Linked DNA regions of Struthio camelus. The protein of the gene in region 2 interacts with the protein of the main gene of each other region in a biochemical or structural test. Links are inferred from orthologs where the notes say so. Each region holds a gene or a part of one and is shown on either strand. Other genes may lie near its edges. The genes, in order: OIP5, MIS18BP1 and MIS18A.

Region 1 (10,277 bases), about 42 Mb from region 2:
TCAGTCTTTTGAAAGTCTTTTAAATGGTGTATGTCAATAATGACATGTCTTGGTGAACTACAAGCTTAACGTGAATCTGCAGTTCAAGCTAGGTTATTTTATTTTGAATTATTACTTCTCTTATTTCACATAAATTTATACAAATTAGCAAGAAAACTGCTTGTCACAACTTTAAATGCAGAGAAGATCTTTAACTGCTTAATAAGCTAGCAATTTTTAAATTTTGATACCTGACAGAACAAACACTTTTTAGCAAACTTTTCAGCTGCTGCCTTAAATATACACAGAGTAGAGTTCTTTTTATCATTTCTGCCCTCAGGTCAGCTTCTGTTTAATCTTGTCTCTACCTATGTTTTTAAGTATAGTATTAAATTTATTTTCTTATTTAGTACTTAATTGTATTTCATTTTAAAAAGTCAACTACAGACTTCAGATTGAGTTCAGTAAGTAGGAAAAGAAAGATGAAGTGCGAGGAAGAAAGTTCTCCATTTCTTGCCTCGTTCCAAAGGGGCTGAGTAGCGTATCAGTGGTATTCCTAAAGGCACTGATCCTAAACAAGGTGCAAGACTCAAATACGCTCAGATCTTTGAGAACTCCTTCACTAAAACCAATCAACAACAGGACCGCAGTTCTCAAGTCAAATCCAGCAGAACGGCTATACTGCTGACTGTGTGAACTTGCTTTACAATACGATAAGCAAACAAGTACATAAGCCTAAATTACACAGATTCTGTTCAAGTATCCTTACTCAAGTACTGTTGGTCCATCAGATCACCAGACATTCCACAAAAATCTTTGTGGACACAATCAAATGCACTTTTTGATTATTTTAATTAGTACGAATGACTAAACTTACTCTGTTGGAAGTTTTTACTTACATTCCACTCCACTTCTCTTAGTGGAAATCTTCTCTGGTTGCTCTTTCTGCCCCATACCCATCGCTGGATTCTCTATAGCTCTCTTTTTAGTTACTGATTTATCGTTTTGGAATACTTTCTGTCCCTTTTCATGCTGTGGCACTTTGTTTTCTTTCATTTCTGAATGCTCCTGTGGTTTAAACATACTTCGGTTAGGCAGATTTTTTCAACTGGACATAAGGAAAACATTTTCCACAGGACAGACAAGAGATTTTCTGAAATCCAACCTGAATTATAAAGCACTTTAATATTAAATTGATTTTGTTGGCAAAACATAAATTCACTGACCATGTCACTTTTTACTACTGTAGCTGTGGTTACTGTAGGCTTTTGCTTACTCAGACATTTTGAGAAATTTTCACCTAAAAAATGATTTCTCTTATTCTCATTCTTCCACCTTTACACCAGTAAAAGTCTTTCATAAAGTTCTGTCTTAGTTCTCCCTCTACTTGCATGTGATTTTAGAGGGGAGAAGAAAAAAGTTTTATCCCCACCTCACCTTGAAAACCTCCTCTCCCTCAGTCATACAACCAATACATATTAAAAAGAAAAAAGGGGGGGGGGGGGGGGGAGAGAGGAGAAAACAACCAGCCGAACACACCAAGACACTCGCCCCACATACTTTGAAATTGAGAGGAATGGGAAACCTCCAGCCCACCAGAGCAATTAATCTGCCTTGTAGTTAGTCTGTCTCTATGTATAGTTCTTCAGAAAATAATCTAAGAGTTACCTTTTAATAGAAAAAGGAATTCATATGAAAAGGCAATCACAGAGTTTCTGTGAATTTTTACTATACAGGAAAGTGAAAACAGCCTGATTTTAGATAAGTTTCAAAACTTGCCTAACAATCTCGTGAATACTATGATGAACCAATGAAAATAGTCTTATATTCTGATAAAATAATTTGAATGATACAGTCTTTATTTGATCTTTTTCTTCAATAATATTCCCTCCCCCCCAAAAAAATGTACAAAAAGAACAAATTATATGTTCATTTTGGAGTAGTGTATAGTCAAATTGGACAAAAACAGAGCTATAAAGCACAGAAGACCAATAACACTAGTAGGTCTGCATACCAAAAAGTGAATGTTACCTGTTAAACACTGGTAAAATGAATCAACTCCGTTTAACTTATGCTTCACTACATGTGTTTAGCGGAGGGAGGACGGGGCAGACACTCAAACCCAAGAAACGTAAATCACCTCTTTCTCAGCAGAATGCCCTGTATTGTCTTCACTGCTGTTAGTTTCCTCATTGGAATTGTTTTTTTTTCTGGTTGCTTTCTTTTCTTTTCCACGCCTTTTTGTGATAAAACACACTGGATCAGGCATAAGTTCCTCCTGACTGTTCTGTTCATCCAATTCGATGGAAGCAGATGCACTTTCTTCAGAGTCCTATATCAGATAAGTATCATCATATGAAACATATCTGACATATACTACAAAGAGACAGCCTCAGCGTTATTATCGGAAAAGGCGTGGTCTTTAGTAGCACAGCAATGAATGAGTGATATCTAGGTTTCCTTAAATAGCAAGCTGATTATTGGAAGACTGAGACAGAAAACCTACAGTTGTTTCATTATATGCACAATATTCTACAAAGACATTTAAAAAAACCTAATAGTTTATATTGGAAATTTGACTTGCATGATGCTGTGATCTGCCAAGTTTTTACATTCCTATGGAATAACCTTAAAAAAAAAAAGAGAGAGATACAACAACAGCATTCTTCCACACTTATCATACCAGACTGTAATCAGATGTTGGAAAAATATGTAATATATTCAAGTTGTTACTCATGCGTCGAAGCTTGATAAAATTAAAAATAAACTGACAAGGATTACACAAGCTCTCCATATTTTAAAAGAAGCAGATTATAAAGGAAGCATTTAAAATATATGGTGTGTTTTAAATAGATTCTAATTTACTTTTGTCAAAAAATGTATAAACATTCCATACTCAATGAAATACTTACAAAAGGGAAAGCTTTAGGAAAAAAAAAAAAAAATCAAGAAAATAACATATTAAGAGATGATTAAAGGAAAGGTTCTCTTCTCTTATAACATCAGTAAGTAAACTGTAGTAAATGGAGAATGCTTTGAGATGAATACCCAGTCCCTCCCTCATCTAGGCATTTTTATATTTAGTATTGACTAGCACTTGGAGCTAAAGAGGCAAAAATTAAGATTTGGTCAATGGAAATTGAAGTGTTAGCGTTCACAGGGGATAATTTTGTGCTTACACTGAAAAAATACACTGCTGTTTTTGGCATGAGGGGGTGGGGGGAAAAAATAAAAAAAATCAGCCTTCAGTCATACACACAACCACTTTAAAGCTAATATCAACACATCTATTTCAATCAGTATGCAAGTATACTGAACACTGTTTAAAAAAAATATATTTTTTGTTACAGTTTGCACCATGTTAAATGCGACATTCACTACATGCCATACTTTACTAGTTACAAAGTTAGATTTATCTTTCTTAAAGAGAATAGCTAATTTCTCATTATTACCATATTTTCATTTTCTTGTTTTGCTCCATGAAAATGTTGCTTCAGTGCTTTCAACAATTTGTCTGCCTGCAGAGAAATCAAAACATATGAACTAAAGATTATATTAAGTCATCAGACACTTGCACAAACCCTATAAGCACCCTAAAAATCAGTCCAAACTAGCAAAGCACTTGCTGAATCCAATAAAATAGAACTCTTAAAGCATGCTTGAAGCCTCATTAAAGTCAGTCAGATTTGAGAACATACTTAAGGCCCAGGCTAAATATGTAGCATACAAAGAGAGATTTCCCCGACCAGATTTCTTCTGGTCTAGCTATTGTCCAGAAAGGTCGATTGTTCTAGGATAAAAGAAACTATTTCAGCAGCCTAACTGAATGCTAATAACATTGCACCCAACTTCTCTAATAACTTTTTCCCATTTCACACAATACTATATGGAAAGCATTCTCCTCATCCCTTCTGTATATTCACATAGAATAATAATAAAAAAAGACACACCATCGATGTTTTAATCTATGAATAAAAGACTTTAACTGGAAAGGTCAGCATAAAATCAGTTCTGAACTAGAAGTTACACACAAAGTAACAGAGAACCAAAACCCCAAGCAGAAGCCTCAGTCCTGTGAGGACAATTAATCCTTGATCCAAATTACCACATAAGTGGTGCATCTGGGGTTTCCCTCTGTCTGTTTTTAAAGGCTGTACGCCTTCTCGCACTGGTGGTGCGGGTCTGACTTCTGCTGAGGGATTTACCAGCGGTACCTGCCAAGATCAGGCCAGGCTGGGTCACTGTCATATACCCGTAGGGCCCTAGGCAAAACAGATGGGCACATGCTTTAACTCCTTGTTCTTAATTCCTATCGGTAAGTAAAAAATAATCACTCTCGACCCTTCAGGCTCCCCGTGGTTACCACTCTTCCCAGCCCCAGTCGGATGAAACGCCCGCGTCGGCGGGTACGGCCGGCGCGGCGGGGGCAGCGCGGGCACGGCGGGGCTCCACGCGCCAGCGCAGCCCGGACGCGGGGCGGTCGGGGGCCCGGGAAGAAGGGAGCCCCGCCTTCTCAGCTTCGTCTACAGTCTCACGCCCCTAACTGAAGGCGGTAAGGAACGCTTAAGCGTCAAACTATCAAACTGCCGGCTCCACGCCCCAGGCCCGAGCCGCGCCTCTGCCGACACCACCTCCAGACCGCAGGTTTTCTCATCGCAGCGGCCGAAAGCAGAACAACGACCGCGGGGCCGCCGGGGGCACTCGACCCCCACGACGCCCGCCCGCCCGCCCACACTCCCGCCGCTCCCGCTCGGCTCCGCCGGGCCCCTCGCTCCCCCCGGCGCCGCCCTAGAGCTCCCGGCCGAGCGCAGGGGCAGCGCCGGAGGCGAGCCGAGCCGAGCCGAGCCGAGCCGAGCCCGCCCGCCAGAGCGGGCAGCCCGGAGCTCCCGCCAGCCCCGCGCCGCGGCGCCGCTCGCTGCATCGCGGCCGGGCAGCCGCCGCGCCGCCTCACCCGGAGGTTGGCCTTCAGGCCGGCGGCCTTCGCTATCCGCTGGAGCTCGATGTACTTCAGCGAGTCCAGCTGCTGCAACGAAGAGAGCGCCATGGCGGCGCGACCACCGCCCGCCGGCAAGCCCCAACCGCCGCCTTTCGAATCTCGCGCTCAACTGACACGGCGCCTTGCCCCGCCCCCGCCGTTCGAACTGGCCCGCCGCGCCCTCCCACTGGCTGATCGGAGCGAAGGGGACGGGCCCGCGGGCAAGGTAACCACCAATAGCGGCCCGGCCACAGGGATCGTGTTTGTTTCAAAGGCGATAGGCGCTCCCGGTAAGGGGAAACCCTGCCCCCGCCTGCCTGATTGCCCAATGGTCTCAGGCGAGGAGGATTGACTTGTCTCTCGCCCAGTGGCAACGCAGAGCTGTGTCCCACGCTCCAATGGGGAGGCCGAGAAGGCGGGTGCCGCTCTCGAACGCAGGGCGGGAGAAGATGGCGGTGAGGCGGCGGCTGCAGGAGCTGTTCCAGGACCCGCAGCTCGGCGGGGTCATCACCGTGGAGCGGCCGCCGCCGCCCCCCCCCGCACCGGCGCGGGTCCAGCCGCCGCCGGCCCAGCCGCCGCCGGCTGCGGGCTCGGCGGAGGCGGCGCGGCGGCGGAGGCTGCGGCCGGAGGAGTGGGCGGTGTTCCAGTGCCGCGGCTGCCGGGCCGTGCTGGGGGACTCGCTGCACCTGTGCGCGCAGGAGGAGCGGCGCCTCGGGCTTCTCGCCTGCTTCAGTCAGTGCTGCCGGGGCCGGGGCTGCGGAGCGAGGGGTGTCCGGGCTGGCGGGACAGGGCCATAAGCTTTTACTAATGCAGGTTTTAATACCGGAGCGGAAACTTCCAGCCCCGCGTTAGAAAGAGGCCCGTTGTGCGCCTCGGCGGGGCTCTGCGTCGCCTGCCGTGCTGGGGGGCGCTGGGGCGACCGGCCGTTGCTCTGGGGTTGTTCACTGGCTCTGCCTTTCTTCGTAGAAGTCACAAATGAGGTTGCTTGGGAAGAGTCGCTAATGATCGGCCTTGAAGGAGCCCTCCTAGGCTGGTAGGTAACGGACGTACCTCTTGCTTTTGACATCAAGTTTTAGTCATCAGATGAAATAGGTGGACCAAAATAGGCCTCCCCAAAGTCAGAGGGAAAGAGTTCCTGCACGTTTTCTAGCTGGGGCACTGAGATGTCTCGTGGAATTGATAAAGTCCTAAGTGATTTTTGGACCTGTACTTCATAACTTTGAACTGAAAATTCTTTTGTATATGTGTAGCTTTAATTCTTATCAAAATCAGAAGAAGTTTTGTCAGCATTTACCCTTGTTAACGGAGAGAGAGGAATGTTTGAGCAATGCAGTAAAAGGTAGCCTATAGCCTTTTACCCTTTTTTTTCCTCCTGCTCCTGCCTTTTAAGCATATATCATCTAAATTAATATATAAATTATATATTTTATTTATATAAAATATAAATTTTATATATACGAGCATATATATAACACATATATAGAAAAGTAATATTATGCACTTTGTTTGCTCTTCTGGTAAAACTAATAACCTGATGTCCTCTGATTAGCAGGCAGTATCTATGGTTTCAGAAGCTTCTGTTTAAACATACTATTTTCCCCTTTCTCCTTTCAGCACTTTCAATGCATTATCCTGTCGTTCATGTGGCTTGATTGTGGGCTTCATTCTGTATTCTACTTTCAGTGATCTGGCTTATCTCCGAGGCTTCTTCTGTTTCTTCAAGGACAGCATCCTCTGGTGAATATGCTGTTTTTTTTAATGGTAAATGACTTCACAGGAGTTTGTAAGTGATTCTGTTTTAATCAGATAGTTAGTTATTAGTATAATTAATCTACAGCTAACAGAAGCTGTTTTACTTTTGAATGCATTGGTGCATGGGTTTTAATATTCTTTCTATTTAAATTGCTCATGTTGGCACAATTCCATTTGATTTGGCTTACATTTTTAAGTATCCTCATGTAATTTCAAGGATTAAATTTAAGTGCTTGCAGTATGAGATCAACTTTACTTCCAGATCCACTTAAGTAACGTATCAAAACGGTTCTGTGCTAGATTGAAGACTTGATTATAGAAACTATAAATTACTTTTAGTTGATGATGAGAGATCTTATGATTTGAAAGTAAAACTATTGTTATGTTTTAAATATTTTCATAATATATTGACTACTTTTGACAGCAGTTATACGATCTCCTTAAAATCATCTTAAATAGTCTGTCTAAACAATTAATACAACCATGTTTTTTAAAACTGTTTTTCTTGTCTTTCCCCTTTCCCTGCTTGTCTTCCAGTTATCTCTTAAAAACTAAAATGATAATAGAAGCCTCTAAGGTAAATTTTCCTGCTTTGAGCCTAAAGGAAGAACTCGGAAAAGTAAGGTTCTACATGACTTTGTATGTAAAATGCAAAAAATGCCAAATTTTTTTTTAGAGATCAGTCCAAAAATATTGTTTTTTTTTTTTTTTGCTTGTTTGTTTTTAAGTGCAGATGATGTAGAAGATATTGGATTGTAATGTAGCTATGATACACGTGCGGAACATACAAAACATTTTCCGTAACAACTTATCTGCAAAACATAAAAAGTTCTAGCTAACTTTCTGACAAGTGTGTTACCCTGTAATGAGTATGTATATTTTTGTGGTACCTGAATGTCATCAAGAGAGAAGAAGGGATTTTTCTGCCTCTTGAAAAGAGAAACCCAGAGAAATCTATACTTCATTTTTATGTGTTTGTCATCTGTTTCCTCACTCCCTTCTTTATGCTCCCTTCAAAGCACATACGCTATCCTGAGTGAAACGTAACATAACAGATGAGTATATTTAGGTGTACCCCTAAGCAAAGATGAAACAGTCTGTCCAGATCTTGTCAAAATAGGTCTCTGGCTTTGTAAAAGTTGTAATGAGTTAACCGGGAAATGTTATGTTGGTCATACTAAGGCTTCAGCAGCTCTGGCTGCTTACTTAAGTGGAAAATTTCCATGCATCCCTGAAAGGGCTTCTGCTGACACACATTCATCTTATATGTGTAACGGAAGCTTCTGATTTGGGTGCTAGTTTTGGCTGTACTAAGCATAGGGTATAGAGATATGTCGTATTAGACACTAGTGATACAACAGAGTCCAGTTTCATTTTCCATCTTGAAAGTCAGCTGCTTTTTAACTACTTAAAGTGGGGTACACATCTTGCAAGGACCTGATGTTAGGACAATGGTATTTTTTTTTATTTATCTTTTTTCTAGCTAAAAGAAAAACTTGTGGTGGTCCACATGCGCCTAGAATTGCTGATGAAGAAGCTAGAGGAATTGAACCAACAGAATAACGTGGCAGAAAAGCAGAGCACTGCATCAGATGCAGCTGGTCTCATGCCAGGATATGCAGTAGTCAAGATGAACAAATAATATGCCTTTTTAAAAGAACTACTGGAGTCGTTTCTACATCTCTGCGGGGTTTGTTCATTATGATGAAACAATGCACAAAAAAAGGTCAGAGACTTAATCTTTTACTTTATGTGCGTATAGAAAGAACTTATGCTAAAGTGCATCTCTTCAATCTAGGGGGACCATCCTGAAGCTATGCTGTGAAAAATTAATAGCTCACCCATGCAGCACAGTACTCTCTGAGGCAGCAGACCCACGGCTGTGGTTCTCCCAACAACTTTAGGGGAAAAAAGCAGCCTTCAGAAAGCTGAACTCAGCTTTTAGGGACTATATGAAACATACTAATAAGGTGATACACAAGAGGAGCCATTATTAATTAAACCTTCTTACAGAGGTCTACAATTTTTTGTCTTACCTTTTCATATAGTTACAATGTTTACGGTAGCTAGTTGTTGATCAAGAGGCTTGTTAGCTGCATCAGGTATGAGAGGCACTGCTAAATGGTGTCCTGATAGTTCTTTTTTACTTAGGTATGTGGCCTGCAAAAGAGGCCAGCTAGCATGTCATAGAAGCTGCACGGCATGCTCAAAGCATGGGAATGGAAGGCACGTTGCTGCTTGGAGCACAAGGTTTTGCATTACAAATTCAAGCACAATTCAAGTGCCTGCCAAGTCCTCTGGAAGAGCAACTCCATGGCTGCACTGAGCTGGGTCAGATTCCGTCTGCTTTGTCAACCTCAGACCGTGGGCAACTGCTTTTAATAGATTTGAGCCCATCTCTGGGGTTGAAGCCATGAAACCAAGGAATGCTCTTTTCTCCTCCCTTCCTTTCTGCTCAGTCATGGGAACACCGCTCTGCTGAAGCTGTGATAGTCCACCTGCTGCCTTCCCTTGGCCAGTCAAGATGTTTCACAAAAAAATAGCCGAAGGGTACTCATCAGCGTTTCTGTTAGTTTTGAATAGGTTCTGCTCCTCTCCAAACATCTAGAAACTCATTTGATGGAGAGGAAAGAATGCTACTTATCCCTTCTTATTGCGACAGAACATCTTAGTCCTTAATTCCCATTAGCTGGAAGATTAAGGGTCCTTTTCTTCTCCCTCCTGCTGCCTAAAAGTTTGATGTTTTAAAGCTTCCATTAAGCTTAATGACTGCCTGTAATACTCTAGAGAGGAATGTATTTACTTGATTGACTTAATTCTGGTGATGTGATTTGCCCTCCTCTACTTCTGTTTCCACATATGAATGGCAGATTGTAGCATGGTCTCAGTTGTTTTGATGTATTTGTAAAATAACTGTTATAATTGACTGGAGGGGATGAAACTCACTGCAAGGCACCCCAGGAGTTTAGACGGGCAACTGGTTGGTACTTATCCTGCTACTTATGTACAATGTAACCAATGCTTTTTGGTTAATGGTTCTGGGTGCTCTCGAAGTTTGTTCGAATTGAGTTATAACATAAAATATCAACAGCTGTTCTGCTGGAAGAGGAGCTCGTCTCCCTCAGTTAAATTATAATATTATATGCTACCTGAATTACTATTATTGCTTGTTTAGGTCACTGACAGACATGAGTGCAGAAAAGCAGTGCTTTTCAATTACAGCTAAATTCAAGATATCAAAAGTAACTACTTGAAGTAAATATTACACTTTTGTAAGATCTGTTTCATTGTCTGTAATGATAAACGTTTTCCTCTCTAAAAAGAGCTCTAGAACCCTTATCCAGGGAGCTGTGCTTTTTAGAGTTGTCATTGTATGTTCATGTAAGGTTGGAGTTGCTGTATTTGATTACTTCATTATTAAAAACAAGGAATTTTTTTTGTAAAGTTGTGTTGTACAGTGACTTCTGCACTATGTTTAAGGGCCTGTTGGTCTTTAACTGGGGTCTTGTGACAAAATTCATTTTGTATGATCATCCTCCCATCTCAGGTGAACGTTTTCACTTGTATAACT
Region 2 (10,280 bases):
GCGCTCTTTGGCCACACGAGGGGGGATGGTCAGCCACGTACTTTCCAAGACAGCAGATGGCAAGGCACTAGCTTTTCCACAGCAAGATGATATCCAGTTATCACCACTCTTCTGGCAGCTGCAGCAAGTGATTGGCACAGGTTCTTGCTGCTCTAGTGCTATAGCTGACATACTATTTTTTTGTTATGGTAATGAAAATAAAACCCAAAGACAGATGCATAAGCACAACAGCAATTAATTGCCTGAGCAACAAAAGTGTTAGATAAGGGGTGCAGAAATGCAATGTTATCAGTATGAATAAAGACCGGAAAATGCGGAAAACAGGTTTTTTTGCGTGACAGGTTGTCTGCTAATGCATGCTCATCGGGTTCTGGCTTTCTGTGCTTCCTGGTGCCATGGAGAACAATCATGCTATACAAGGAAATACCTGACCAATTGGGCCACTTAACCCAAAATTTCTCAGCAAGACATACTTCAGTAATTCCAACAATAAATATGGTTCTCCCAGCACCACTGCAACATTCATGAAAACACACACCAAGAAATAGCACTGGCATACCAGAAATGTATGAGTTGCTACCCGTTACATGGGCGTGAATGAACATGTAGCCACATTTTAGTTACCCAAGACCACACCATTCCTGCAGCTTTGCCCTTTGCAGCTGACTTTAGCAGATCTCAGAAGTATTTCGGATTTTTAATAATCAGGCTCTTAGAAAACTGAATATTCCTTGTAAGAATCTGCCCATGAAAATACTGCTTTAGGACACGTGCTGAGTTCTGTCAAAAGCAGATGGGAGGCAGCACATAGTTCTCCCAGGAAACATGGGCCTGCCTAAGCAGAAGATCATTTTTGTCTTCTAGAACTATTAGTTCACTGAATACCTTCCAACTTTCCGGAAATAGAAATAAGCTGAGGCAAAGATCCTACAGCTTACAGCCTTACTGTAGCTCCGATTTGTTGAATGCACTGAGATCACCCTAGGAAGGGAGCAGGAAAATAAAACATAGGCTAGAGATGCAATATCATCACCCAGTAATATGCAGCAGAAATCAAACAAATTAATGGTTTAACCATGTTTAATGAAGATCATTCTGTATTTTCTAGATCTTAAAGTCGGTAATAAACCATCCTTTATATCCATATATGTATAGAAACATAATGGTATGAATATTTAGTTCTGTACCCCAAACAAAGGAAGCTGTAGTTTTTTCAGCTGCACAAGTAACTGATTTAAGATAACAAAAATCTGAAGAATAAACTCTATGATAAAAAGTATAGAAAACTAAGACAACAATTAGTTTTCTCCCAGAAATGCTAGTATGCCTTTCATTTAAGAAATAAACAAACAAAAAAAGTAAAGTGCTGTTAGGGTGATGCTATTAAGTTACATAACAGTTAGTTAGGCAGATGTGTAGATATGATCATTCTAATTACCAAGCTATCAGAAAAAATAGCTCCAGAAAGGAAAGTAACAATAAAAGACTAAGCTTCTTTGTAAAGTTTCACAATAACTATAGGAATCAGAATGGAAACTCTGAGGGCCAGAAGGCGTTTCTTTAATTATCAACAGTAATCTATCTTGGCTAAATAGGATACAGTAATGGAAATTTAATTTTGAACAAGCTCCCTCACTTTGCCCTGTTTCTCCCATTGGAGCCTTCTTTTTGGAGCGCAGAGCATTTGGCATTCTCTCATAGGTGTTGCAGAGAACAACAGAATCTGTGCTGTCTCCTTGGTCTTTCATGTGTTAGGTATCTCTCCAGGACAAAAACATTATACAAAAGAGTGACTGTCAGACTGAAATAAGACTGAACTTCTCAGAGGACTCCAGACACTTATTCTTACACCCCTATACTTATCACTATATGGCAACACAGAATTGCTTCACTGACCACAAGATCTGTTTACTATCTATTTAGAAGGACCCCATATAAAAGAGAAACCCATTTTGGGAAAAGAAAAAGAAAAAAAAAAAAAGAAAAAGAAGTCGTCAGAAAGCATGCACATCTAAGCCAAACACCACGCAAACTTTTTCACAGTTTGACCACACAACTACAGATCTGGCACCAAGATTACTGGACTTTACATCCATTCTTAGGATCCAGACTTTTGGCTTGCTTTTTGCAAAGCCAAAATAGCTTTGCCAGCTGTGGCCAAAGAGACCACAGGAGACTAGATAGGAGAAGTACATTTAGGAATTTTTCAGGCATGCACAGCATTTCTTCCCATACAGGTACCTAGGATCTTAGTGGTCTATGGATCAGCTCTAAGGAGTCTATGGTACATAACAGAAGCGAGTCCATTGGTCAAGTACCCTACTCAAACGTGTAAACAGTCTCCTAAGTTCATCAGTTTGGTCTGCATCTCCATGGAAACTAAAAAGAGGCATGAGTATGAAAAAAACTATCTTGGAAATCCCTTTATAATGGCATGATGATCTGCCCTATGATGAATCCTTTTTCCAGAGAGACTTTTAGTGTTATCGGTAAAGTCTGCCCAAAGAGAATCAACTGCAGGGTCAGGACTTGACTTTTCAGGTCTTTTCTTATAACTGCTGAGATTTAATTGGAGTCATTCTAATCAAGAAAATACTTCTGTCTCTTTTTGTGTCCAAAGCACAAAGACCTGGTAAGGCTATCAAAGTAGCTTTCACTTTAGAAATGTGGCCTTGAGCTAAAGAACTTCTTACTTCCAGATGTATCCTGCTCCATGCAAGAGTCAGCTCTCCTGTGCACACAGCTGCTATTCCAATTATAGGCACCACCTGAAGTCACTCAAGCCAAATAAAATCAGCAAACTAATTCACTCTTTAGCTTAACAGCTTTCTGCAGTTAGTCTGGATTATTCTTTCTTCTCTATATAATCAACCAGTTCTCTCCTTTTTCTTTTCTATACAATCAGCCAATTCTCTCCTTTATAGAATTAAAAAAAAACCACACAGAAAATAAGCTTAAAAAGTATTCAAGATATGTTATTTAGGCAGCTCCAGTAGAGTTTGTTAGTATCTACAAAAGGTGACTTGCTTTACCCTATTAACTACATTTATAATATGTAGGAGCATCTAGAGATTTCTAAACTAACTGCCCAAATCTTACAAACTTATCTTTTACTAAGAAGAAACTACCATTTGACTTCCTGTGGATCCTACTGTTTTTTCTGAAAGGAAGAAAAAGTATGATGACTTCTGCTAACAACCAAATAAAAGCAAATTTCCTCTGCTTTTGATTACTTTTAGGGAAAAGCTCATCTGGTAAGTATTTAAGGAACTCTAGCAGCAATAAAATATTCTTAAGGATAAGGACTAAGCTGTAAGTCATGCAGGTTTTTTGCCTTTTAAGAGGAGCCAAATCAATACAGTGCAATATGCAATACAAACCATTGGAAGATGGTATCACCACAGTGTTTTAAATAGATTGTTCTATGCATTTACCAGTGTTACATTTGGTTAGACCAAGCCAGCTGTATGGACAGTCAATCACATACAGATCACAAGCAGACATGTAAAAACATAAAATGGAAGCATATCTTTTTTTTTTTTTAAAAAAAAAAACTATTCCTGCTTCAACTTTTTCAAGTCCTTCTTTCATCTTCCCCATTGCTTTCTCTAATCTTCCCTCCCATTCACCACTACCAGCTTAATTACTTCACCGGGAGATCCTGGCTCCGCAGATGATCACAGAATGAACAGTACAGGGCGTCAAGGCTCCCTGGACTGCAGAATCCAGAAGAGCTAGCTTAGACTGTAAAGGTGCCTTCTGCAACAAAATACCTCCTTCTTCTAAAACTCTTGCACTGTGCCTCTCATTTTTAATGTCTTCATGCCACTATGTACTAGGCAGTACTTGCCCAGTTCACTGGCTCACAGATTCCTATCTCTGTAGTAAACACAGTGTGTCTTCATTAACGGGATAACTCAGATACTAAGAACTACTCATCAAGAGACTTCAAGGCCAAACAGCCTATTCTTGCAAAACAAGCTTCTTGCTATTTCCTGTGTAAGTGATGACCCCACTCCCCAGACACCCACTTTTGATTCTTAGCACTGACAACTCTGTATCTGGATATTTATTTTTCCTCTGCACATAAATTCTTAGAAATTTAGGGTAGAAGCAAGCACAGAATCTTTGTCCGTGATATAATCTGGGACATTAATTAGTGTACATATTTCTGTAAGAAGCCCACAAAATTTAATTACAAAAAAAAATTTAAGTTGCAAAATTCCAAACAGAACACAAAATATCCAGCACAAATAGAAAGCGGGTTTTTTTTTTAAATGTAGCTACTATGTGCTAACAGGCATTTGATCAGTTATAGTGAACATCGAGGTACCCAAAACTGAACTTCCAAGTCCAGCTGTTTAGGCTAATCTAAATGACAGAAACACCCGATTTTACAAGCTATTCACTGTGCTCCCTCATTAGCTAGGTGAGCCCAGCCTGATGAGTAAAAGTGCTAATCTCTGTTCCACGCATTACACAAATAACTTCCCTCCTTTCCCACTTTAAGTATGAAAATCGACCACTTAACCTCTTAGCCAAGACACAGACAATAGCTTGTCTAACTTTCAGAGCTGTAAGAAACTGCATATCCTGCTTAAGCTAAGGGTTATATACTGGTCTTATCACTGTCTTTGAAAATCTAAAGGCAGTTACAGCTCAGTGTCACTTTTCAAGCTAGCACCTAGAAGTAGATAAAACTCTTAAAACTGCTAACATCTGATATTCAACTCATTTTATTCCTTTTTCCTATTTTTAGTTTACCTACAGGTGAGAGCAAGGAACACAACAGCATGCTGCCTCTGCCTAGACAGACCTCCTGGGCTACGCTCTGCCTTCCTCCCCTCTGCTCGGTCCTCACGACTGCCGGTTAGTTTTGGGAACCATTGGGGCACCCTCTCTCCATTCCGCCGTCCCATTCCAAGCGGCCTGGGCTGACCTGTGAAGTGGCCGCAGATTTGCCACCTTCTCCTCACTGGCTCGCTCAGGTAATGCTGATTGCTACGGCAGGAATCACTTATTTCCTTGATGTACACAGTTTGCTCTTTAGCAACCCGGCCGAAAGGCCGCGCAAGTATCTTCGGGGCAGCAGCGGTACCGCCGGCCGCGGTATCCCCCGCCCGGGCCGTTTCCCCGCCGCCCTCCCCTCAGCGCCAACGGCTCCTCCACCGGCGCCGCGCGCCCTCCCCTCAGCGCCAACGGCTCCTCCTCCGGCGCCGCGCGCCCTCCCCTCAGCGCCAACGGCTCCTCCACTGCCGCGCGCCCTCCCCTCAGGGCTGGGGGCGGGCCGACCCACCCCGTACGGAGAAGCGGGGGAGGAAGGGGGGGGAACATGAGGGAATACGGCACTGCCCCACCCCACAATATGCTCTCTGCAACTTCCGGCGGCCAACACCGCCCCCCCCAACTGCCTATGTTCCCGCCTTCCCCGCTCGCGTCACTGTGACGCTACCCGCCCTGGCCGCCAATCCGCGCGAGCCGGCCGCGCTCAAATCTTCTAACAACTGTGTGGCGGGCTCGGCAGCGGCGCGCGGGGCTGAGGCGAGCGGGGCGCGCGCGGGGGGGGGGGCGGGAGGCGAGGGGGCAGCGCGCGGCTGAGGCGGCGGCGGCGGCGGCGCGCGGGGCTTGAGGCGGCGGCGGCGGGTCCCCCGCGGCAGCGGCGATGATCGTTACGCCCAGCAGAAGCGCCGCGGGCGGCCCGGCCACCGCCTGCCGCCGGGGCGTCATGCCCTTCCAGTCGGCGTTCCTCAGCAGCATCCCCGCGGGCACGCTGACGCCGCTGAAGGACCTGCTGAGGTGCCAGGCCCCGCTGGCGGCGGCCGCCGCCGAGCCCGAGGGCCGCGCCGGGTGGCCGGCGGCCGACGGCGTCTTCCAGTCCACGCTGCTGGCGGGCGGCGGCGGCGCGGACCTGCTGGAGCTCAGCGAGATCTGGGGCGGCCCCGAGCCCGAGGCGGGGCTGCCGCCGCCGCTGGCCTGCGCCGAGCCGCCGCGGGCCCCGGCGCTGCTGAAGCGGCGGGCGGGCGAGCCGCCGGCCCACGAGTCGCCCGCCAAGGTCTTCCAGCGCATGAAGGCCAGGGCGTCGCGGCCGCCGCGGGACGCCGCGCTCCCGCTCGGCAGCGGCCGCCCCGACTTCATCCTGAGCCCTGCCCAAAACCCCGCCGGGCAGGGGCGGAGGGAGGCGAAACCGGCGGCGGCAGAGGGGCGGCAGAGAGCCGGGCAGGTGCCCGCGGGACGCATCCCGCCGGAGAGAGGTTTGTGCCGCCGTACCCCCCCAGAAACCCTTTACTTACTGTCACATGAACAACACCCGCCTCATCTTTAGTATCCGTTTAGGTGCGAGTTGCACTGCGCGTTCATCGCGGCCCTTTTCCAGCGTGTGTTCATAGATGGGAAATTCTTGGTGGCAAAACTCCCCCTCCCCCCGATCTGTCCAGAATTGGAAAAAAAAAAAAAAACATGTTTGGATGGTGTTTTTTTCTGTGCTAAAGCATATTTGTATCATACTTTGATTCCCCCCGCCCTTTACCTTAGAGGAATGTCTCCCGTGGTATTTTTCTCCTTTTCTTACTCAGTCTGGCTTTTAATTTTTCTTGCTGTGTGTGGGGATGGGATTGACACTTAGCAGCAGTTGGTAAAGCAGAGAATTACGCTTTGTAAGTAAAGCAAGAGATGACTCTCATTGCTTCCTGCAGCCAGTGTAGAAAGGGGAGAGGTTGGCAGGAGCGTTGTCTTGTTTTTGAGACCCTAGGGAAATCCGCTTGCCTCCCTGTTCCAACAGCTTTTTCAATGTATTTTCCAATTCTGACTACTCGATGTAACACGAGCTTGCAAGCACTGCGCCCCTTCCCAAGGAAGGTACGCTAGCTGCTGTAGGCCAGCAGGAAGGTCTTCCTTTTGTCTCACAACAGAGCTGTAAAGGTATTAGAGGTATTTTGCAGAGGGAAGGTGTCTTGTGGTGGTGCCCAGCTGTTCCCGTACTGTAATCATCCAGAATGGGAGACCCGTGGAAATATTGAGTATTTCATCACAAAGGTTATGCTTCCTTGCTGCATATATTCCTGTGATGCTGCAGCATTGGGAATGGAACATTTAGTCTTATTTTAGTTTAAAAAAAAAAAAAAGCCTATACTTCTAACACCTGCTGTGTATCGTATGATGCAGAAATAGTCATGAACTATTTGGATGGGAGGCTTTTTTTTGAAGTGCAGTACTTAGGTCTCAACCCCCTGACCCAAACCTGGATAAAAGTTTTCTACAGGAGGTTCCTATCTGGTTTGTCAGTGTTTGTTTTAAAGCGTAATTGCAGAAAAGTAAGCTGAGTGGTCCGTCTGCTTTATCTGGCCAGTAGCAGTGTCTGCTGCAAGTTAGCTGTTCTCACTGGGGGTGCATCTGGTCTGTTCTCGAAAGAACATGCTATTAGGGAGATTTTATTTCCCTACTTTTATGATTAGATTTTAAAAAGTCTTCCTAAATCTCCTTGCTGCAACTTAAACCCCTTGTTACTTTTACTATCCTTATTGGATATGATAAAAACGAGATTAAGCTGCTGTTTTCACAGTAAGCAAAAGTCTTAGGTGTTACACCTTAATACAAAGAAATATCCCTTTTGTATATACTTTCCGACTCCTCTGGGTTAGGTTACAACCATGGCATGTGTACATACATGGGATTTTGAGGGTGTGTTTTTTCATGTGCAGCAGCTGATGCAACATGATGGCTAGTTTGCTGTGAAAAGGGAAAGGTCTTATTGCTCATCCTTCTCAGGACAGATATTTCCTGAACAAATAGTTAGTATACTGGAGTTTAGTATCTTATGAAATATGTATTTTGCTTTTTTTCTTCCCTTGCATGAAAATAAATATTTTTCTTCACAAATTCAGAGGGTTTTTTTTTTTTCCAGAATTACCTTGCACCCGGATTCCTCAAAACAGAACTGCTAAATTGTTAGCAGTAGACCCTTTTGTACTGGAATCTCCCCATAAGTTCTTCTTGCGCGTGAAACAGAAATTGCAGCAGCAGAAAGGTAGTTGATGTTGCTCTTAATAACATTTCCAAAACTTCCTTGAGTTGAGGGTTTCCGTTTTGTAATAGCTTGTGTGCTTTGTCAGAGTATCATTCTTCCTCTTCCACTGTAGTCTGTGCACAGCTGAAAACAGCGAGAGACCTGCAAGTCTGTCTTGGGACCTGGAGATGACATTAGACGTTTAAACTTTGGATTAGGACTATTGGCTGCTGACCCTGAAGCAATTAGTCCTTCTGAGTACACTATGTCCCCTGACTGTCTTTTAACTCTGGGCTCCTGGTGTTGTGATTAAGAGCTCTTTAGAGACTAAATGTAACATTTTAGTATTTGGATGGGAATTAGGTGGAAAAATACTAAACCTCTTATTACTGGTTCTTTTTATCCCCTAGCTTTTAATACATAAAGTGAAAAGATTTAGTTCCATGAGAAGTTCCTTTGTATTTCTTTGTTTGTTTGTTTTCCCCTTGATGATAACCTTGTGAACACTTCTGTCCTCCTATAATTCTGCCCGTAATAGGCAAATGAAGAGAAAAAGATCCATGCCAAAATCTTAGTGGTGTTCCACTTTAAAAACTGAACTTTAATTAGCTGAACGCTCAAAAAACGGTGCTTGTAGCTCCCAGTATAGCAGCAACGTGATTAGAAGTCAAATATTGACATCTGGGAAAAAGGAAATATTCTAGACTTAGGGTTTTTTTTTGTGAAAACATTCTGCTTTTTGCTCTTCGGGGAAGATTCATTTTAAAAAAGAGTAGGAAGAACGGCAAAGCTTTAGTATTAATAGGAGTGGTGTGCATTAGCATAGTTTTTGGGGAAAGGGGAATGGTTAAAACAGTCTTCGGTAGCAGGAATATGGCACTCGTGATGGGGAAAAGCTAGTTCAAACAAATCCAGAGAAATGGCTTTCTGTTAACAGTTGAAATAGGCAGTGTTTTTGGAGTTGTTATAGTATGTTAATCAATAGCAATTTACTCATATTAAAGTGGAATTAAATTGTATAAGTATATTTTTACTGTTCTTCCGGTATCTTTAATTGCTCTGTGTTTTTTGGGGTTGGTTTGTTTTTTATGTGCAGATCCAACGTTTTCAAACTCAGTCAAGGAAAATGTTCCTCCTTCCGCAGCTGCAGAAAAGCCATTAGTCAAATCTGCTTTTACTGAGCAGCTCAACAATGCTAATACAGAGTATGTGGCCGCTAATAAGGATAATCAGGATAATTTCCTCATGGAATCAATTGATGCTGATGATGAAATGTCTCAAAATACAATGACTAATACTGTGAATGGAAATTCCCCCCCTTCTGAAAGTGAGGATCAGTTAGAAGAAAGGTGTGGACATGGAGAAACAAAATGTACTAACGTTCATCAAGAAAGAAGACAGTTGCGGACAAGTAATCAACAAGCTGCTCGTGGAGGAGAAAAGCTACTGGAGACTAATTCTCAAAAACCCTCACAATGCTTATGTAGTATTATGCTCTCTTCTCCTAAAGTCCACATACCAAGGAAGCAAAAACAAAAAGAAGGCTCTAAGGTCCCTTTGGATACATCTCATACAGATACAATGGCTGGCAAGGGAAACAAAGAGGTGGGAGAACTTACTATTCTAGGGGCATTAGATATGCTAAAACTTCCTGTAGGCTGCTTGTAGCTCACAGCAGTGGTTTTTGGTTTTGCTTTGGTTTAGACTTGCTAGAAGTCTTGGACAATGACTTTGTCTTCTAAAAGTCAACATTAAATTACTCGGAGCATTTTTATAATTTAAATTCGTGACTTCGCTTGCACGTTAGCTTCTGGTTTCATTATGCTTCTCCATAAGTGTGTTTAATAGTTATTTTTAATTTCTCTGGTCTGGAGGGTTGTGCCTGGAAACTTTTTCAAGATACGCAAGAATTTTTAATTTCTATTTTGATAATGTCATGGCGGTAGCTTAATCTAATTTTTAAAAAATGATATGTCTTTAATTTTTTTATCACAGAAAAAAATCTGCCTAACGAGTTGGAGAATTAAAGTGATCAGCGGTAACACTGCAGTATGTGTTGAAGGAAAACGGAAGTAAGAGAAAATTATTTGAGGTTTAAATGCAATGTAAAACATGTTGGTTGTCTTTTTCAGAATCTGAACTATAGAAGCTATAAAGTTTAGCATCTTCATCTCATTGAATATCTGTGGTTTTGAGACTTGTGTTTATTGGAATATCATGGTACCTATTAGAAATCATTCTACAAGACCATAGGATTATATAAGTTAGGGTTGTCACA
Region 3 (11,128 bases), on a different chromosome or scaffold from region 2:
TCTAGATTTATGCCAAACTGAAGTAATTTTGGTTTATTTTTAAGAGCACCTTTATTATCATTCATAGAATTCACAGAAGCTAACTAAAACTGCTACAGATCTCAAGGGGAGTTTGAATTCTTGAGGGGAGTTTGAACTCTTGAGGGATTAAACAGAAACTTCCTGGCTGTTTTTACAGTCTTACAATTAACAATTTTTTAAAGTGAGATAATGTATTTTAACAATCTATTTAAAAAAAACTTTTCTATTGCTGAACTTGTGTGTGTGTGTGTGTGTGTGTGTGTGTGTGTGTGTGTGTGTGTGTGTGTGTGTGTGTGTGTGTGTGTGTGTGTGTGTGTGTGTTTAAATAGCCTATGAGTTCATGGGCTGATTTCACTTTTTATTATTTTTACACAAAATGGATGGAGCTGCTCAATGCTATTAATAGAAAGCAAGCAACATGACTTTATAGCTGGAATTAGATTCATTTTCATGATAAGAACACAGTCTTACAATGTTTCAGGGACAGGCCACATAACAGAAAGTGCAGAGATTCAGGACAAAAAAAATCAGGCAAAATTGAATTAAGGAGCCATATAAGGGGTTCTGATGAATGTATGATTTATTTGGGCCAAGTCAGCAATACCCCTAAACAAAAGCTGAAACCCCTTTGCACTCAGTCTGGCAGAGGCCCTCTGGAACTTCAATTCAGCAGTTGTTTTAGCCCTGGAGATATCAAACATTTTGCCAAACTTGGAATGTTTGTGGCTATCTAAGCCTCTGTCTAAGGGGAAATTATCACAGTTCATCTTCAGCACACAGGGCAAGGACTTGCTGAAAATACTTTGTTTACATAGTTCCAAGCACAAGAAGACAGTAACAGTGGCTTGTGAAAGTGTAAAAATATAAATTTTATATAAATACAGGAAAATCTACAAAGTAAATTCTTTACCTGACTAGTCTTTGTATTTAAAGCAAGTAAGCAAACTAACCAACTATGGAATCAATTCTCTTAGTGTTTTCTTTATAACTTGAAATCACTGTTCCCCATTGGCATTTGGAGAAGGAAGAAAAAATGTACTAAGATGGCACAGCCTCCATTCCTCCTAGACTGCTGACATGGAAAAATGTCTATTTTTATATGAAGCAAAAAAAAAAAAAAACAGTTTCACTTCCCTAATTATCAGAAAACCAAGCCCAACATTTTTAGCTGAGCATTTAATATAGCCAATGTGGGTTTTTTAAAAGACATAAATCATGGAGCAAAACTCTATTTTAACAAGCTGCCTAGAAATATGTTACACAAACTGCAGCCCCAGGGGACACAGATTGCCTTAACAGTACCCTGCTGAGGAGGGGGGGAAAAAAATCTTGAACCCTATTCTTGCATCTTTATTGTTGTTCTTTGCTCGGGAGATGAGCAGCTGAAGCACAGAAGTCTGGTTTCCTGCAGATTTGTTTCCCAAATCTGAGCCCAAAGGTGGTTTCCTTGGTGTCTAACAGGGGATGTGCTCACCCTGCAGCCTTTTTGTCAGTAAAGGTCTTTGCCAGCAATGTTCTTCCTCCTCTATCTAACCACCTGCTGCACAGAACTTGTGGATGTTTTACATCTTTGAGGCTCCCACTCCTTTGTTAGCAGATAAACAAGCTAAAGTTGTTGGAGGAGCAGATTAGATGCATAAACACAAAGTATGATCACATAAGTAACCTCTTTAGAAAATAAAAAGGTCTGAAAGAAGGTAGACTTCTCTCCTTCTTTAGGGGAAGAAGAGAAAGCAAATACAGAAAAAAATCAACAAGAGACTGGTATATTCTACTTTCTTAGGGAAATAAGGCTTATGACATCACTGTGTGTGCATGCACTATGTACATGTGGGAATTTCCTCCATGGAACTATTAGTAAATATCAATTAAATTTAACAGAGAGGGAACATTTTCTCACAGAAATATGATTTCTAACAGTTTCAAGAAAACAGGCAGCTGGGTAGACAGAAATATCCTATAAATGGCCACGGAGGGAAATGCTTTAACACAAACTCCACCCCTATTAGATATCAGGGAATCCAAATGTAAGAAAGATTCTATTACTGGGAAAAAAAGTGAAAGGTCAGATTCCCGAGCCCTCTTTGTGAGAAGCCAACAGCATGCAGCTAGCTTAACTCAGCAGTTCAGAGTTCCCCTGGTGGAATTAGGGGGCAACTATCTGCCCTGCCATCTTTAAAATTAAGACAATTAGGGAAGTGGTGTAAAGCTGCTCAAAACTTGCCTGTTCCCAACAGCACCAGATGTTGCTCTATTCAGCATTCAAGAGCAGATTTTACACATGGACAGGGGTGGATATTTATACCACCTTCTCTAAGGCATCTTACTGTAGGTTCCTAAGTTTGGAGGCAACATATCATAGAATCACAGAATCACAGAATGGTTGAGGTTGGAAGGGACCTCTGGAGATCATCTAGTCCAACCCCCTGCTCAAGTAGGGTCACCTACAGCACATTACCCAGGATTGTGTCCAGACGGCTTTTGAATATGTCCAGGGAAGGAGACTGCACAACTGCACCAGTGCTCTGTTCCCTCACAGAGCGAACTTCCCATGGTTCAGTTTGTGCCCGTTGCCTCTCGTCCTGTCGCTGGGCACCACGGAGAAGAGTCTGGCCCCATCCTCTTGACACTCCCCCTTCAGACACTTGTACACGTTGATGAGGTCACCTCTCAGTCTTCTCTTCTCCAGGCTGAAGAGGCCCAGCTCTCTCAGCCTTTCCTCAGAGGAGAGACGCTCCAGTCCCCTAAATATTTTTGTAGCCCTCCGCTGGACTCTCTCCAGTAGCGCCATGTCTCTCTTGTACTGGGGAGCCCAGAACTGGACACAGTACTCCAGGTGAGGCCTCACCAGGGCTGAGTAGAGGCAGAGGATCACCTCCCTCCACCTGCTGGCAGCACTCTTCCTCATGCACCCCAGGATACCATTGGCTTTCTTGGCCACAGGGGCACATGGCTGGCTCATGCTTAACTTGTTGTCCGCCAGGGCTCCCAGGTGCTTCTCCACAGAGCTGCTCTCCAGCAGGTCAGCCCCCAATCAGTCCTGGTGCCTGGGGTTATTCCTCCCCAGGTGCAGGACCCTGCACTTGCCTTTGTTGAATTTCAGGAGGTTCCTCTCCGCCCACCTCTCCCAGCCTGCCCAGGTCCCTCTGAATGGCAGCACAGCCTTCTGGTGTGTCAGCCACTCCTCCCAGTTTAGTATCATCAGCAAACCTGCTGAGGAGGCCCTCTGTCCCTTCATCCAGGTCACTGATGAATACACTGAACAAGACTGGACCCAGGACTGACCCCTAGCTACAGGCCTCCAACTAGACTCTGCACCACTGACCACAACCCTCTGAGCTCTGCCACCCAGCCAGTTCTCAGTCCACCTCACTGTCCACTCATCCAGCTCTCACTTCCTGAGCTTGCCTACGAGGATGTGATGCGAGACAGTGTCAAAAGCCTTGCTGAAGTCCAGGGAGACAACATCCACTGCTCTCCCCTCATCTACCCAGCCAGTCATCCCATCGCAGAAGGCTATACGGTTGGTCAAGCATGATTTCCCTTTGGTGAATCCATGCTGACTACTCCTGATCACCTTCTTGTCCTTCATGTGCTTGGAAATGGTCTCCCGGATGAGCTGCTCCATCACCTTTCCAGGGATGGAGGTGAGGCTGACTGGCCTTTAGCTCCTTGGCTCCTCCTTCTTGTCCTTTTTGAAGGCTGGAGTGACATTGGCTTTCTTCCAGTCCTCAGTCACCTCTCCTGATTGCCATGACCTTTCAAAGATGATGGAGAGTGGCCTAGCAATGACATCCGCTAGCTCCCTCAGCACTCAGGGGTGCATCCCATCGGGGCCCATGGATTTGTGGATGTCAAGCTTGCCTAAATGATCTCTAACCTGATCCTCCTCAACCAAGGAGAGTCTTCCCTTCTCCAGACTTCTCTCTTGTCCCCAGGGTCTGGAATTCCTGAGGAATGGCCTCAGCAGTAAAGACTGAAGCAAAGGCGGCATTCAATAACTCTGCCTTCTCTATATCCTTTGTTATCAGGGCACCCGCCCCATTCAGCAGCGGGCCCACATTTTCCCTAGTCTTCCTTTTGCTATTGATGTATTTGAAGAACCCCTTCTTGTTGTCCTTGACACCCCTTGCCAGATGTGTCCCTTGCCACATATCCTTTCAGTGGAAACAGAGCTTTTCCACAGGCAACGTGAAATAAGTGTTTCCGCTGACGATACAGCAAGGTCAAAGACACCAAGCTACCAGCACAGGCACCTAAGCTAGATGCCCCAAGTGGATGGTATGAACGGTCGTTCCTGTACTGTCCGGTTCAGTCTTCACTGTCAACAAGGCAGTTTCTGGCACTGTTAATTACAAAGACATGACAATGTTCTGGCAGAGTATCCTGTACTCCTTACAGACTAGATCACTGTAATGACCTTGTTCAAAGCTATTTTGGTCCGTGAAACCACACCTGGGTAATCAGAGTCTTTGGTAAACTACATAGCAACCAGCAATGTCCATAGCTGTTTGATGGATACCATAGATAGAGACTTGGCAGAAATGGGAGGGAGATACTGCCTATAGCCTGAGTGACTCAGATATGCCTGCCCGCTCTCCCTAGATCATTGTAACTCTGTCCAATTATATTGGGTTACATTAATCCCTCATGACATGAATTGTCATTTTATCTTATCAAAATCAAACCAATGCAATTACAAGAGGAAAGAAATCGACCTTCCCTGTTAAGTAACCAAAAAAGACATCACTATGTCCTTGTGTAAAACCAAGCATGCAACAGAATTAACAGTCCGATACTTTGTTAATATGACTGGATTCGGTGAATGTTATTTCATATCCATTGAAAATAAACTTTTAAAACCCGCAGAGTCTGTTTCCATGATCATAATGTATGTGGACAATAATGTGTATTATTACATTGTCTTACAGTTCAGGAGTACTAAATCATAGCTTTTCTCATACATTATTTTTGGTTTAGTACAAAAATCAATAGGATTGCTTAGAGATGGATGCCAAATAAAAGCTCAAAGGGAAAAAAGTAATAGAATATGTTTTCAGTTTGCTGTTCCTGGCTGGTGAAAGCATAAACTTATTCTCTTATCAAGGCTCTAACGGTGTTTAAATCAGTTCTAGCATAAGCTTTATGTTCCAAGAGGAAAACACTATAGTCTTATGAACAAATCTGTTCATTCCGTCATCTTTTCTGATGGTAGCATGCAGATAAAGAACACCCCAAAATACTGATTTGCATGTCATTAGATCTCTACTTAGCAAATGGTCAAAAAAAAAAAAATCCGTCCTCTAAATCAGAGTTAATGTCAGCAGTCTTACAGTTTGAAATACCGTAAAATAAATCAAATAGCTTCAGTATAAGTAGAAATTGCTATCAGTACGTAAGTTAAGATAGTTTGGAACACAGACACTCATCCATTCAAACCACGTACAAATAAGCTAGCATGGTATCTATTACAAGGAAAAAAGTAAGTCAGAGAGACTATGCAATATTTTGCCAACTCATTTTTCCTGTAGTAGATCAGCATCTACCACTCTACAATACTTACATTTATTAACCTTCAACTTCCTTCCATCTACTGGAATTGGATCTATATAATCCCAATAATATTCATAAGACCAAAAATACTCCGATGAGTTTGTTCTGTTAGCCATTTCAGTAGTGCATTTTAAATCAGCTCAGAACTCCAACCAAATACTTTGCTTCATTGTACTTCAGCGCCCTCAGAAAGAGATTGCATAACTGATGCCTATGTAAATCACTCTGGAGTCCTGCAGCTCAAGGACTGCCTTGATAATAAAAAACATTTAGCAGAAAGGAACATTAATGTAGGACAGATATGTAACAGCAGCCTTTAAATACAATCCTCTCTTCCTGGCGGGCAATTATGTTATTCCTCAGAATATTTTAACTGAGATGGATATAAAGTAAACTAAGAATGGCATGGACACAGGCCAACTGCGTTCCAACCATGGGAGAAACTAGCAACAAGGAAACATATTCTGGACCCACTGAAAATAGCTGAGCTGAAAGAAATTTCTGAATTTCCGCTGACCTAAAAAGCAGGTAAGAACTGGTAAAATACTTCTGATATAAAGAATGTATTGAAATAACCATATATTTTGCTTTGGCACTTTTTTATTCCCCTCCCCCACCCAAAAGCAATGGATGGAGAAATAGTCTCCCAGTCAAGACAAAGGTAGTCGAACTGCCCTGTGCATTCGGCCCACGGCACTGTCAGTGTCTACGCAAACACACACGTATACTTGCTTCATCAAAGTTAGCAAAATTTCTCACTTTAAAAGAGAAACAGATCCTCAGTGAACTTTTACCTGCATTCCTAAAAGCTACAGGGTAAGTCAGGGCTAGGCAAGTCAGGGCTGCTCACCCAGGCCCAGTCCCTGGATTGGCGGGCGGCACGGAGGCACATCGGGCCTCTCGGCACCCCTCTACAGTGGGGAGCACACTGGGGCATCACTTGAACCGCGAGCAACAAAATGCGGCAGACTGGACAAAACCAGCGGCCTTCCAAACCCGCAGCAAGCCTTTTTGCTTCGCCTCCCCGTCACTAGAGCATTCAGGCCCCTCCCAACGTGCCTCTCGACGTATCTTGAGGCCGAGGACAGCAGGCCTGGCTAGCTGAGGGCAGCAGCAACGGCGACGACCGCCCGCCAGCCGCCCGCCGCGACCGTTAGCGGCGCCAACGGCCGCAACAGGGCGGCGGTGGGGGTGGGGGCTGCCTGAGCGCGCCCAGGGGGAGAGGGCGGGGCCGCGCATGCGGGGCGCCGTGTGGGCGGGGTTCACGCGCGGGCGGGGCGGGAGCCGGGGAGGGTGGGGGGCGGGGGCGGGGGCGGGGCGGCCGCCTCGGCTCTTGGGGCGGCGTCACTGCCGCTTCCGGCGCGGGCCGCTTGAAGGCGATGGCGGGCGCGCTGTACGCGCCGCCGGGCGCCGCGGCGGGGCCCGACTCCTCCCTGTCGCTGCTGGAGGCGGACGGCGCGCGGGAGGCGGCGGCCGAGGCGGGGCCGGGCGGCCGCGGGGCGGACGAGGACCTGCTGCCCATGGTGTTCCTGTGCGCCGGCTGCAAGCGGCCGGTGGGCGACACGCTGAGCTGGGTGACCAACGACGAGGAGGCGGGCTGCATCCTGCTGCGCAGTGAGTCCTGCCCTGCCCCCTCCCTCCCCCCCCCCCCCCCCCCCCGCCGCGCGCGCGAGGCGGCGGCCGTTGGGGGCGGCCGTTGGTGACCGCTGGTCCCTCTTCCCTCCCCACCTGCGCGCAGATGCGTCTGCCAGCGTCTCGGTGGACAAGGAGCAGAAGCTCTCCAAGCGGCCCGGCGAGTGCGGATGGTGAGGCCCGGTGTCGCGGCGGGGGTGGGCGGCTCGGGGCGGGGGAAGGTGCCGAGGAGGGGCCCGGTGAGCGGCTCGTCGGGTGCTGCCACCCCGCCGTCCCTGAGGAAGGCCGGGGGGCCTTGGCCTAGAGCAGCTCCTCCAGGTGGCCTGTCTAAAGTTTACCTCTTAGTCTTGCTGAGGTCATCGGGCTGAGGGTCTGCTTTGGGAACCTTGGCTGGAAGATAAATGTTCGTAGTTACAGTGTGGCATTTGAGAGTGAATCCTCTGAAGATCACAAGCAGGTGAATTGTTTTTGAATAGGTGTGGGGAAAGCCCCCTCCCCTTTGAATAAATGCTGTATGTTTTCCTTACAGCATGGTTGAAACTTTGTCCTGCTCTGGCTGCTCAATGATACTTGGCAATGTCTACAGGTGCACACCAAAGCATCTTGACTACAAGAGAGACTTGTTCTGCTTCAGTGTTGACTCCATTGAAAGGTAAAGGTAGCATTTTTAGGGATGCCTCTAGGTATCATTTATATGGATTGCTGCTGTTAGTTTTACTGGAATATCTAGAGGTAGTTATCTCTTTCCAGGGTAATTTTTTGTGTTACTGCTGCCAGCATTGTACTGTTGAAGTCATAGAAATGTCATCTGTGTAATACTAGAAAAAAACATTAGAAAAATAGAAATACCAGGGTCTTCTCTTGTATAAGAAACTGCATACCAAGCACAGAAGTAACACTAGGTAAGCAATATGGGCGTTACTTCTAGTCTGATCAAAAGAGTATGTAGATGCTCTACTCCAGCTGGCATAAAACTACCTTATTCTCTCAAATAGTACTGAATAGGCCTAACTTAAAGCTACTAGAAGTAAGTATTATCAGAAGAAAAGATAGGCACAGGGCCTGAAGTAGAATTTAACCTGTCTAGGTGTGAAAAAAGGTGAAAGTGAATCCTGACACTCATTGTGTAATTGAGGTTCTTAGTATCTGTTCTGCAGTTCTCTTACGGTGCACAAACTTTTTTATACTCGATTGTCTAGAAACTGAAGATGTGCCGTTGTATTGGTTTTATTTGGTTTATTGCACTTGAAGCAGGTCTTAATTCAGGATGAAGTTAGTGAATACTTTAAGTCTACGTACCGGGGTGCTTCTATTGCTCTTACTTTGTTAATGTTTGGATAATTCACCTTTATTTCTCCCTGGGACTAAGTTTAGCATTTCTGCTTTTTATTAAGTTCCAGTGTATTTTGTTGCATCTGTATTGATGTTCTCTTCCCTCTTTCAGGCAATGGTGGGTTTTTGCTTTGCCTCTTCCATGGCAGTAAAGCTCTCTGAAAGATTGTACCATGGTCCCAAAATGTCTTTTTGGGGCGTGGGAGGGTAGGCAATAATGGTGATGACTGGTTGTTCCGGCTAGTACAACAGTCTCCTCAATGTTGGAATAACTCTTCACCTTACGCTGTAGCATCAGAACTCATGATTGTCTTTTGGAGTTCCAACTGTTATACAGTGATGGTATCTTAGTAGTTCTGAGCTTAAAATTGCTTTAATTCCATTTTATAGTTTGTTTGCAAGATTCTAAGTATGGATTTTGTTGCTGAATCATGCTCTTGCTTTGGTAACTTATTAATCATAGTCTTGTAATCACTGAGAACAATGAATGAGTTATGTTTGTTTTTGCATTCAGAGCAGAAAGTGCATGATCTAAACTGTAGCATATCAGTTACGTTCTAGGATCCTCGGAAAAGCAAGCTCTTACTGATGAGGAGCCTGTAACTCTTGAGAGTCGAGCTGTTTTGGAAGAAGCACTAGAAAGGGTAAGGTTTAATCTTACATCGCTTGTTGTGTACCTCAGATGAATCTTCATATCCTTAGTTTCTACAAAACAAGCTATAGTCTCAATTGGACCCAATTCTGTGCATTTTTACTGTACTCTGTGACACTCATGCTGTTAGTATTTTGTGTTAGGTAAGACTTTGATTATAATTTTAAGAAGCATTTCTATTTGTCAAATACAGCTATAGATTCCTATCTCTGTCAGAAGTCTGAACCATTGCTTGCCTCTTGTAGCTTTGTTTTGCTTCTCCAGTTTTTTTTTTAAAGACTGATTTAATCAAATTTTTTCTGTAGAATCCTATCCTTCATGTAAACGGATTCACTGCTTTTGCTGCTGTTCTGTATTGAAGTATTGCATAATAAATATGAGTGGATACTTTCCTCTAGAAGTCTCCTGACTGTGGATAGGGAGAGCTGAGAGCACATACGATAACCAGATTAGCCCTGAAAGCTGCCATTTGTATAGCAGAAGCTGAATGTGTGGAATTCTTGCTTCAAAGTGAGAGGACAGCTATAGCAGACTCTAGAGAGTGCTGAGAGGTCATATTAGAATTGACTGAACTTTTAGACTGTGCAGATAGTGGGAAAAGAATCCAATAGGATTGATAACACATGATTGACTTCTAGCATACATGTCAGAAAGTGCTTGCTCTTTGTTTTGTGAAGTACCAAGTATCTTTCCTTATTTACTTTATAGGCAGACACCATACTAAAGGCACTGGAGGCGAGGCTGACTGTAGTTGAATCAAGTTTTGCTTCTCTTCATAATAATGTCTGAAAAACTTCTGCATCTAAATTAACTGCTGGAGAATGATGTAATGAATCTTGCACCTGTAATCCTCTGGAATCTACAGGAACATTGTGAAAGCCGTGCAAAGAGCTAAGACTCAGGTGGCTCATACTGCAATAGAGCAAGCCTGACTGAAAGTCTTCACCATAGGCAAGAAGTTGCTCTCCTCTGATAAGAGTACCCCAGAAAGGGAAATAGGGGGTTTTGTCTCTTTTTTTTTTAAACTGCTTTGTGAAGACTTTCTGTTTATATGTAAATATTTAAACTTTTATGTGAAAGCAAAATATTTCTCTCCTGGTTTCCTAGCTATCCACTGTTCACTGAACTGGGTTTGCTTATCTTCCCTAAGGCAATAAAAACCTGTGACTTTTGTTGAAGAAGCAACGTAAGTCTCTTCTGCCATCTTATCTTCACAGCCTTTTCTTCCTGGACAAGAACAACACAACTGCTTTCTGCCAGCTCAAAGCTAAAATGTATAATTGTAAAGAAGATTATATGCATAACAGAGCTTCAAGAGGAGGAAAATAAACAAGACTGATAGCTGTACACCTTTAAGCAAAGCTTGGTGTATGTTTAAATGATGAACTGAAAACATAAATTAAGAACACTTGTCAAAATTTTGTTTCAGTGTAGATATCTCTATTTGATTTGGATCTACTAAATCTGTATTTGTCTAACTATCAGGATTTCCTAAATGTATATGTTGCAAGTGATTTTTTTCAATAAAACAAGGAAAACAATAGTCTAAGGTGAGAATCATTTTGAAAAGGGTTTTTTCTATTACTCAACATGATTTAATTTTACTCTTGCGTTCTTAAGTTTTGTCCTAAAACCTGTAATGTGTTTTCCCTTGTTCTTCAGCCACTGATAAACAGCCCCCCAAAAAAGTATCTATCTTCTTTTCCCTATCTACTGTTTTGGTTTGAAGTAGCATTTGTTTTGGCCTCTGATGATAAGTTTATCTTTGTCCAAACTAAAACATTTTGCTGATTGCTTATAAGAATTCCTTTGAAAGATTGGTGCATACCTTTCAAATCAAACTAGAAGCTGTCTTCTGGAGGTGGCTTGGTTTTTTCCTGAATGCTGCTATGTGATACAGACTTAATCCTGGATGCCTGAATGCAAGATGTGCTAACT

Evidence for each region.
Region 1: the proteins of MIS18BP1 (region 2) and OIP5 form a complex in vitro, tested with the Homo sapiens proteins (2 studies listed by BioGRID). The link is inferred for Struthio camelus from reciprocal best matches to the Homo sapiens genes MIS18BP1 and OIP5.
Region 3: the proteins of MIS18BP1 (region 2) and MIS18A form a complex in vitro, tested with the Homo sapiens proteins (2 studies listed by BioGRID). The link is inferred for Struthio camelus from reciprocal best matches to the Homo sapiens genes MIS18BP1 and MIS18A.

What each region holds. Positions count from the first base shown.
Region 1 is NC_090946.1:41,223,973-41,234,249, reverse strand, and holds the start of OIP5 (protein Mis18-beta), read left to right. Parts: upstream 1-5,388; 5' UTR 5,389-5,403; coding exon 5,404-5,686; intron 5,687-5,920; coding exon 5,921-5,987; intron 5,988-6,568; coding exon 6,569-6,691; intron 6,692-7,243; coding exon 7,244-7,325; intron 7,326-8,189; coding exon 8,190-8,348; 3' UTR 8,349-10,277. Other genes in the region: NUSAP1 (nucleolar and spindle-associated protein 1), read right to left, coding at 879-1,047, 2,120-2,311, 3,432-3,497, 4,931-5,023. UniProt on the Homo sapiens protein: Required for recruitment of CENPA to centromeres and normal chromosome segregation during mitosis.
Region 2 is NC_090946.1:82,888,239-82,898,518, forward strand, and holds the start of MIS18BP1 (mis18-binding protein 1), read left to right. Parts: upstream 1-5,630; 5' UTR 5,631-5,662; coding exon 5,663-6,251; intron 6,252-7,900; coding exon 7,901-8,023; intron 8,024-9,098; coding exon 9,099-9,607; intron 9,608-9,997; coding exon 9,998-10,074; intron 10,075-10,280. UniProt on the Homo sapiens protein: Required for recruitment of CENPA to centromeres and normal chromosome segregation during mitosis.
Region 3 is NC_090942.1:119,786,154-119,797,281, reverse strand, and holds MIS18A (protein Mis18-alpha), read left to right. Parts: upstream 1-6,938; 5' UTR 6,939-6,953; coding exon 6,954-7,188; intron 7,189-7,312; coding exon 7,313-7,379; intron 7,380-7,735; coding exon 7,736-7,858; intron 7,859-9,088; coding exon 9,089-9,182; intron 9,183-9,898; coding exon 9,899-9,979; 3' UTR 9,980-10,733; downstream 10,734-11,128. UniProt on the Homo sapiens protein: Required for recruitment of CENPA to centromeres and normal chromosome segregation during mitosis.